2 separate regions of the Mus musculus genome follow, and region 2 is reported to be linked to region 1. The links are microRNA targets in miRTarBase. Many come from high-throughput screens and were not tested one by one. Region 1 holds a microRNA gene; the other region holds the end of a gene's coding sequence.
What was found. Region 1 holds the annotated microRNA mmu-miR-1905 (CACCAGUCCCACCACGCGGUAG, at 1,428-1,449, opposite strand). A microRNA usually pairs through its seed, bases 2 to 8, with sites in the 3' UTR of a target mRNA and lowers its output. Matches are read on the target gene's strand: a 7mer-m8 pairs with bases 2 to 8, a 7mer-A1 pairs with bases 2 to 7 and ends in A, and an 8mer does both.

Region 1 (5,074 bases):
GGCTTTGGATGGGTACATGAGGAAGGGCACGCAGCACTGAGATGTGCCTGAGGAACTCAGGGATTCTGCCTGTGAGAGTGGGGCAAAGGTGTGGGTGTGTACTAATGTACAGTCTGTGCGCTGGGCTAAAGTGAGATGGAGAGAGCCTGTGGACATGTGAAGAGGTGTTCTGCTCCACCCTACAGTATTGCTTGGATGAAGGCACTCTCATTGCCTTAGGCCCCAAGGCCCCTGAACTCTGAAGGAGGGCTAAGACACAGAGGCTCTGTAAAGCCAGGCAAGTCCACCCAGCCTGAGGTCTGCAGACTTTTCTGACGGGCATTCCTGCTTTCCCCCTCCTCTTCTCTTTGTCTCGCTTTTCTTTCTCTTCCTGCCTCTCCCAGCCTCCCAGCTCTAACCTGATCCTCCTTCAAAGCAGGAGCTGGGGTCCAGAAATGCTCAGTTCCCCTCTCCTCAACCTCCAGGACATCTCAGTCCTGCCCTGGGCGTCAGGCAGGGAGGACAAGAGGACAAGAGGACAAGAGGACAGGCCTTAGGTCCTCTGGATGATACTGTCTTCCTACTTCTCCCTGAGATTCTGACCCCTTGAGCCCCACCCCCACCCCCCACACTGAATCAGGGGCTGCTAATGCTTTATGGTGTGGAGAAGCACAGAGATTATGTGGTCTCCCCACCTCCCTCCTGCTGCCCCTGGTTTAGTGTTTCTCTGATTTTGGTCTCTACTTCTAGGGATGCTAGGAGGGCCTGGGGAGGTCGCAGCACACAGTAGCCAATGTCCCTGGGTGAGCTAGAGGACAGACTCTTTTAATGAATGGAAGTCACATGAGTAGACTGGGTTAATGAGTGCATTGGAGCTTTGAGCAAAGACCATGAGCAGTCACTGAGAGGAAGGTGAGATGGAGGGAGTGGACGTGCCGGCAGGTGCTAAGGGAAGAGTTTGTGAGGTTTTGAGTTAGCCGCTTCTTCTCTCAAAGGCTCTGAAGGAGGGGGGTCTCAGAGGAGTGTATCTGGAAGGCCCCAAATGGAACACAGGACAAACTAGTGCATTCAATTGGTCAAATTGGGGGGTAGGTTGTATTTGTGGTCTTGAAGGTGTCACTGGATCAACTGAAGGATTTTCGGGAAGCTGGGATTCTGGGGGAAGGTACAAACTCCTTTGTCCTGTAAAATTTTTCCCCACTCTGTCCAGGCTGCAAGATTAAGGCTCTGAGGGCCAAAACCAACACCTACATCAAGACACCTGTGCGAGGTGAGGAGCCAGTGTTCATGGTGACTGGGAGGCGGGAAGACGTGGCCACAGCCCGGCGGGAGATCATCTCTGCAGCTGAGCACTTCTCCATGATAAGAGCCTCACGCAACAAGTCTGGCGCCGCCTTTGGCGTGGCCCCTGCTCTGCCAGGCCAAGTGACCATCCGTGTACGAGTACCCTACCGCGTGGTGGGACTGGTGGTGGGCCCCAAGGGAGCGACCATCAAACGCATCCAGCAGCAGACCAACACGTACATCATCACTCCCAGCCGGGACCGCGACCCCGTGTTTGAGATAACCGGCGCACCGGGCAACGTGGAGCGTGCGCGGGAGGAGATCGAGACGCACATCGCTGTGCGCACCGGCAAGATTCTTGAATACAACAGCGACGGCGACTTCCTGGCTGGCAGCCCTGACGCTGCCTTGGACAGCCGCTACTCAGACGCCTGGCGGGTGCATGCTCCAGGCTGTAAGCCGCTCTCCACCTTCAGGCAGAACAGCCTGGGCTGCATAGGCGAATGCGGCGTGGACTCGGCCTTTGAGGCCCCGCGCCTAAGCGAGCAGGGCGGGGACTTTGGCTACAGCGGATATCTGTTTCCGGGCTACGGTGTGGGCAAGCAGGACGTGTACTATGGCGTGGCAGAGACAAGCCCCCCGCTGTGGGCGGGTCAGGAGAATGCCACGCCCACCTCGGTGCTCTTCTCCTCTGCCTCCTCCTCCTCCTCTTCAGCCAAGGCACGCGCGGGCCCCCCAGGCGCGCATCGCTCTCCTGCCACCTCTGCGGGGCCAGAGCAGCTGACCGGGCTCCCTCGGAGGCCACCCGGAGAGCCACTGCAGGGTTTCTCTAAACTGGGGACAGGCGGGCTGCGGAGCCCCGGCAGCGGGCGGGACTGCATGGTGTGCTTTGAGAGTGAAGTGACAGCAGCCCTGGTGCCCTGTGGACACAACCTTTTCTGCATGGAGTGTGCAGTACGCATCTGCGAGAGGACGGACCCAGAGTGTCCTGTCTGCCACATCACCGCCACACAAGCCATCCGAATATTTTCCTAAGCTCCATGTCCCTGGTCTCCTGGGCCCGCTCCCTCGGGTGCTGCCCTGGACCTGTAGGGCTTTTTGAAAAATCAGTGACTACAGGGCAAGGTGCTTGGAAATATTCACTCGCTGGGGTGGGGACAAGGAGGCCTGAGTGGCTGGGGGCGGGGCCATTTTCAGAGCCTCTGGTTACCCTTTGGGAGGGGCCATAAGTTTTACTAGAGTTACAACTCTGATACCTCAACACACCCTTAAATCTGGAAGCAGCTAAGAGAAGCTTTTGTTTAGCCAGAAGTGGCCACCAGGACACACATCCTGACCTTTCCCTTCTCCCTATCCACATGTCATTTTGCCCCTTCTCTGGAGGGGTAAGAACAGGGAGACTTGCCATCTGTAGTTAGAGGTGCTCTTCCTGATTCGCTAGCCCTCTGGTCCTGACCTCCCATCTCCTAACATGACCCTTTAGCCCACACACACACACACACACACACACACACACACACTCACTCACTCACTCATATCCTGAGTTCCCAACAGTATAGGGAGATGGGGGCCTATTAAAGATCTGCATAGATCTTCCAGGGTGATGGAGGATGTCGATAAAGGGCTCACAACTTACCCATCTTACAAAGCTGGGCTAGAGATCTGGAAAGGGGCTTCTCTTCCCCCTTCAATTGTTTGCTTGGCTTTTCCCCCAATTTTTTTTTGTTTGTTTGTTTCTGGATCTGCCCTTTGGTTTCTGTTGTTGTTGTTGTTGTTTTCCCTATTCTGTCCCCCTCTCCCTCAGCCCCCAGCCACATGTTTCTTTCCATCCTCTTACCTCTTCTAGCCCAGCTTTGGGGATATCATTTTCTTGGGAGAGAAGTCTGGAGAGTGTTTTGATAGCCCCCACCTCCAGTTCCTCTTCATGTAGAGGACAGCCCTTTTCCCCCACTCCTCCAAAGAATCAGTTTGAGACGGGAAACTAGTAATGGGGTACATGAAAGGTTGGAACCCTGCCTTTATCATCTATGGGCATTATACTTAGGGAGCATCTTATCCTGGGTCTTCTGCCCAAGGCAAGGGAAAGCCAAAAGTAGGAAAAGTCCTGGGGCAAGAGAGATGTGTCTGGACGGGCTCCCCTCCCCCTCACCTGCAGTGGCCTACCCCCGACCTCTCTCTGCACCTAGCTGAACCATTATTGAGTCCTTATTAGCCACAAATCATGAATTCTCTGTCTTACCCACTGGCTGAGGAGAGAGGCCAGATCTTTGGTGAGGGGTCAGGCCAGGGCAAAGCAGGATTGGGGTGCGGTGGAGCCTGTTACAGGAATCAGGTATTGTGATAGGTCTAGCACCCCTTCACTACTCCTCTTGCTCACTTGTGTCTGTCAGCAGCCTCCTACTCTCCCGGGTTCCGCTGGTCGGGCCAGGAGAGGATGGGTGACCAGGAGGCCCAGGAGATGCTTGTATATAATTGGGTGGGATATTCTGAGCTCTAGCTCAGGAGTCCCACTCTTCCTGGATGGGGAAAGGATGTGGGATGAGGGCAGAGGGAGGTCTCTCTCTCTCCTGCCTCTTGTGAATTAACTTGCCTCTCCTCAGCCTTCCCCTCCAGACCACCAGCCTGGGAGGGGAGAGGAAGGAGGTCACAGCCCAGAAAACTGGCCTGTGGCAGCTTCCCTCCTTTCCATCAATGTGAGCCATCTTGAGATGTCTGTACAATAGAAACCAAACCAAATGGGCACCCTGGGTTGCCCAGGGGCAGGGGATGGGAGGGGGGTGGGAAGAAGGGATGTCTGTCTGTCAGTCCCCTCCCCCTCTCCACTCCTTACCCACAAAGGCAAAAGACTGTTACACTAGGGGCTCCACAGATCCAATCCCACCCTTGCTGAGTGAGCCTTTCCTAGAAACAAGCGCAAAAGTGAGCGAGCAGCAAAACAAAGCAATGGGGGAGTGAGATGGGCGACCAACAGAGGAGAGGAAACAAAAATAGCAAAAAAAGAAAAAAAAGCAGTTCTTTATAATTTAATATTCTATTTTAATAAAGGCATTTATTACCGTATAAATGTAGCAAAGAACCTGGGCTAATATGAAAAAAAGACTTTTTATTAGGTAATTTATTATATGAAAAGGATATTTTATTTTATGATAAAGTGATCCTTAAAAAAAAAAACTTTAGAAGGTTTAGAATATATGTAGGGAGAGAAGAAAAAAAATACATTTGTATTCAGAGTTAAATCTTAAAAAAAGTTTTTAATATATGTTCGGGTTTATGTTCTTTTTTTTCCCCCACTTCTTTTTGGGGAGAAATGTCATTTGCTTTTCTTGGGGGAGCATCCTGGGGTGGATGGTGGAGAGGGGATAGGGAGTTGGTCCCTTCTGGGGCCCCCACCAGTAGATTGGATTTCATTCTGTGGGCTCCCCTCCCCCTCCCCCTCAGGGGAGCCGGCAGAGCCAAACAAAGGAAGGGATTAACCAGAAAGGAAGCAGCTTTGGGACTAAGGACTGAGGGTCCTGGAGTGTCCCTCCTTCCCCTACCCTGTGCCAGGGGCAGTCAGGAGGGAAAACCAGAACTGAGGCCTAGTTGGCCGACTGAAACCCTCAGAGGTGTGAGATTTAAGAGAAATAGATTTTTTTTAACCAAAAAATTAAAAAAAAAAATGAGAAAGAAAAACCGAGGGGTTTAAAAGAAGAGAATACTACAAAATAATTCAAATTTATTTCATATAATCCTAGAGAAAGAAAAAGAATTACTAGTTACTTAGTAGACGATACTCAAGATAGCTTAAAGTTTAGTAGCATTGTGGGCCCCT
Region 2 (5,074 bases), not on the chromosome of region 1:
CTTTCTGGCTCTTGTAAACACTCAGCAAAACCAACAGGCAACTGAGGCAAATTTAAATTGCTTTATATCAAAACCATGGTGGTGGGGTGGGGGGGGGGGGCTGCATGATCCTTATAGCACAGAGCACAGGAGGAAAAGCTGAGGCGAGAGCAGCCAAGCTGCAGCCTCCTGCCAGCCAGCATGGACACATCAGGTGGAGCTGCTGCTTCTAGCTCTAAAGGACATCCTATCTACGACAGGCCACGTGCCAGGCCAGCTTGACCGCACCCTCAACCCACTCACACTCCCCTTTCTCCTAGCTATCAATGCACTTTCAGCTTTCTGGTCACCCTTCCAGAAACCTGATAACAAATCATTTTTAATGTAAAGTGCTATGAGAAAGTGCAGAACAAGTGACATCGGAGCTTAGTGTAGCATACATAACATCAGAGTTTTATCTAATGATTCTTCGTAAAACTGCTAGGAAGCTGGGGTACTGGCTCTGGATATGCGCACAACCATTCATTCTTTAAAGCAACAGGGCTGAGAAGCCGGCAATGTTTACCAACAATGAAAGCAAAACACTGACTCTATTCTTTAGCCAGCACCAACTTTAAAATGCTACATGCACATGTGTGTTTCAAACGCTAGTAAATCCTTCAAAATGAACTGCTACGATTGTGACCTAATGTGTAAGGCCCGGGGTGCTGTCCCAAGCCCAACCAAAAAAAGAAAAAGTCACACAGCAAGGTTTTGGGTAATTTATTCACAGTTCCGGTGTAGTCACTGGATTGAACAGGACACAAGGATGAAATAACCATCTGGCTCAGAAAACTAAACATTCATTTAAAAGAATACAAAATCAAAACAGAGCAATGATTATTCTAACCCCCAGTCCCACAGAAGTATAATTTAAACAAATATAAAAATGTTATTAATGGAAAAACACATTCAACCAAAGAACATTCAAAAATTAGCAAGACCATTTCTACACTCTCTGGAAACTAGTGCAGAAACAAGATAAGGTGACGTTTCCTCTGATGCCATCATCAGCCTTCAGAACATCACTACTGAGCGTACGGACTTACAGTCAACACAACACAACTTAGCAGTCTTGCTTAAAACTATGGACATTACTATTCAAAGCCAATGCTGTCAGTTTTATTATCTGTTATCATCCCAGATCTGAGGATATGTTTAAATAAATTCTAGCTATGAAGATACTGAAATACTTATTAACAATCTTTAAGTACAGTGAAAAAGTCCAATTTATGTTAAAACTTTTGAATGTGAAACTAAATAAAAGCCATGTGAAATGTCTCCAAGCTTAAAACCCTGCGTAGTATTACTGTACACACAACCCACTATGGGTTGTCATAAATCAAAATGTGGATGTCATAAATCAAAATGTCTTTACCTTTCCCTTCCATGTCTTTGGCCTTCCCAAGTTGTAAATTATGAATTCTTTTTTTAAACAAACATTTTCCAATGACATTGTGCTTTATTATTTTTTTTTAGAAAACTCATACCAGTTAATGTATATAATAAACAGGTAACCTTAGTCTCTTTTATTGCTCTAGAATATCCTAATTATAAAAAAAGATAAAAGAGTAACCCCAAAGACTGAAGGTGTGTTGTGAAAGTGTTAGTTTCCCTCTACATGGGACCAAGTCCAGCCTCCTTTCCTCCCACCTTCAGAACCACTGAGGCAAGAGGCCTGGACTGAAAGGGTTACCACCTGTCACTTCAGAAACAGCCTGCTATTAAAAAGCTGATGTTGGTGTTCTGAACTAACAGCCTTCTGCACAGTACCCTGTGACATCACTCTGCTGAGCAGGGACACACAACTGCTTGCCATATTACTAACTGCTGTTCTTTATAGTCCCCTGTTCCACGGACAGGCCGGGGCAGCTGCTTATGAACATGTCAAACGAACCCAGGCCCAGCATTTAATACCTCAGCACAGCTCCACCTTTCCACCCTCCCTCCTGAGCCTCACAAGGACCAGGTCCACCAGGGACAGTCACAATTGCTCTGAGGGTCTAGCTCTGCTGCCCAGCATGGCAGCCGCTCATACACAGCCGCCGAGCCAGTCACAGGCTAAGAGTGAGTGGCTCACCTTCTAACCTTTCTATCTTACGGCATAGATTCTCTTTTTTAGAAAGTAGTAACCATCAAGTGGGCCATGTGTCAGGTGCCTCAGTCCTCCCTGCCTAGCAAGGACTCCCAGGTAAAGATGTGTGTGTGAACTTAAACACACTATAAATGTGCTCGGTCCTGTGGCGGCCTGATGCCCCAGAGAAGGGAGATGCTAGGGGGTGCGGAGGGGGTGGGGAGCACCCTCTTAGAGGCAAAAAGGAGGGGGATGGGGTGGGAGGTTCATGGAGGGGAAACCAGGAAGGAGGACATTTGAAATGTAAACAAATAAAATAATTACTTTTTAGAAAGAAAGAAAGATAGATAGATAGATTAGAATTTAATGACAGCACTCTGGAGGCAGAGGTAGGGAGATCTCTGTGAGTTCGAGGCCAGCCTAATCTACAGAGTGAGTTCCAGTTCAGCCAGGACTGCACAGAGAAACCCTGTCTTGAAAAACAGGGAGCTGGGGGTAGGGGGGGGGGAGAATTTTAATAGAAAGCCTCCCTTTTACAGGGTATTTTTGTTTTGAAAAATTAGATTTCTATGTCCTGTATTATACCAAATTAGTGGGACCTACTCACCTAGTGCCTTGCCTTGCTAAAATATCTGGGTATTAAGAACTAATAAAAGAATTTAGGTAGAAAGCAAAATGGGATATGGAAAACAATAATATTTGTTTAGACAGTACTACCCTGGTCCTCATCTGGGTTTCTGACTGGTTTAGTATTTATTCTAGCTTGGAGTGTGTATGGATGAGAAACTGGTAAATGGGTTCAATATCATAGACAGAAGACAAAAAGAGTTGTGACGTTCCGCTGCACGGAGGGTGGTTAGCAAGACTGAGCTGTATAATCCAAAACTGCTCCAACAGGACCCCGGGGTAGTGACTGAGCTGACAGTGAGTGACCAGACAGCACTGAGCTGATCGTCTCCCAGTTTCAGTGTCTCAACACACCAACATCACCCTGTGCTCCAGAGCCACACACCAAACAAAAGCCACACCCAAACACGAGCAGCTGTGCTACCACATCAGGCCTAAGAAATGACCTTACACACATGCTCCACTAACATGAAGTCTTAGGGACAAATACAACAGAGAAACGTACCCAAAGCAGTGACATGGAGTACAAACTGTGGCCCTGTCTTGGGTTATCAAAATCAGGTTTCCAGCCTCCATCAGTGTGAATGAAGCCTTCTGAAATGCCTAAAGTGACATCAACTTTTTCTTCAACTCACCTTCACAAGTGTTAACTGCTTACCACTAAGTTCAAACACAAAGCATGACTCCGTGAAGCACTGCGCTTTCACCGTGTACAGGTGAAAGCTTTTGAAAACAATGGACCTAACTTGAACACACACACCTGCCCACTGCCCACACAATCTGACCCAAATAGCTCTGTGAAGAAATTACTCTGCACATTTTTGGGGTGTCAAACTAATGTTCTATTTTAAATATTTTATCCAACTTGCTGACCTGCATTTCTGACACAATCAGCTGAAGGCATGACAGTCTCACGTATTTATACTGCATTCACTCCTCAACAGGAGTCAAAACAGTCCCAAGGAAAACATCGAGAAAACAACCCTGAAACTGACGTCACTCCACAGTGCCAAGTATGTGCCGTTCTCAGCTGAGCCTGCCACATACACTGAGGGTCAAATGAGCAGCAAGGCCTGCCACCCCCCAAGCAGAACTTCTACACTGGCACCAAGGGATGCTTTCTGCAACAAGGCAGGGGAGGAAGTAAAGGTAACTGCAGGAAACTCTTCTTGGGACAAAGCTGAAGAGAGAATTGAGCACCCTGACACCAATTTGAGGCTTGACAGCAACTCTGTGCTATGATGCCAAAGGCAGCTACAAAGTACGTCACTCAACAAACAGTACTTGCTTTTCAGTTAAGCTCTACAGTTGCGAGAAAATGCCAACTACTCTTAAGAGATGAAGAAATAAGGAGTGGATCCCTGTGTCCTATCTTCAAATGTCCAGCCACATATCAATGTCTAACAGCACAAGTTTTCCAAACTCCACAAGGTCTTCTCTGCAGGTGTGGAGGACCCAAACGCACTGTCTACAGAGATGACAGACATGTTTGAACTAATTTAACTAAACTAAGATAAAAATCTCACCAAGTTTTTTGGTGTACAGTTTGATTTAAAAACAAAACAGAAATAAGCTTCAACATAAACTGCAGCATCTTCTATTTATAAGTAGCGCAGCAAAGCCTTTGGTGGCTGTCCAGGCACTGGCACACACTGACTTGGAGTATCCAATTCAATGCACTGGTCTTCCCTCAGTCTGACTGACCGAATCACGTTATGCTGAAGCAAACACCAAGCGCCTTGACACTCACCAAGCCTCCTCTATGAAATGGAGGGCCCAGAAATCCATTATCCAGTTCTCTGAACAAAATACAGCTGAGATCTCTCTGATTTTAGGTTTAGACTTAAATTCTATGAATCAAATTCCCCCATGTATTATTGAAAATGAGACAATTGCACAAAAATCATTAGTTGAGTGGAATAATTATAACTGATATATAAATAAGATTTACTAAAAAAAGGCTTTCAGGAGGCAATAGTTTAAATCAAAAATTTAAATACAAAAGGTATCTCGTGTTGCTTAACTGTCTTAAGTTTCAGGTGTCTGTTACTCTACTGTTACAGATTTGGCAAGATTCCGTGGAAAATCAACCTGCAGAAAAGAGAATTGTATTAGCAAATATAATCATGTAATTTAGCCTAGAAAATAACTGAAAAACAATAAAGGAAAGGCGCTGACATACATAGGAGAGCTACCTTGGTCCCCTAGGAAGATGGCCCTCATAGGGAACCCTGGAAAAACTACCGGGTATCTTGGTTCCCATGACACCCAGAGGATTAAGAATGCCGCAGCCCTCACTGTGGGAGGGGTCCAAACAATAACTTGTCCCACCCAAAAATGCCAATCACCACCCAT

Region 2: miRTarBase lists Gfpt1 as a target of mmu-miR-1905. Seed matches in the 3' UTR shown: 7mer-A1 at 1,506-1,512.

The regions. Positions count from the first base shown.
Region 1 is chr3:88,534,884-88,539,957 of GRCm38, forward strand. Mir1905 (microRNA 1905) reads right to left here and starts at 1,499; the gene lies at 1,418-1,499. It overlaps Mex3a (mex3 RNA binding family member A), which reads left to right. Exons shown (of 2, transcript NM_001029890.3): 2 at 1,190-5,074. The coding sequence ends at 2,298.
Region 2 is chr6:87,087,850-87,092,923 of GRCm38, reverse strand. Gfpt1 (glutamine fructose-6-phosphate transaminase 1) reads right to left here. Exons shown (of 19, transcript NM_013528.3): 19 at 717-4,810. The coding sequence ends at 4,766. Among named protein-coding and RNA genes, the nearest start is that of D6Ertd527e, 14 kb to the left of the region's middle.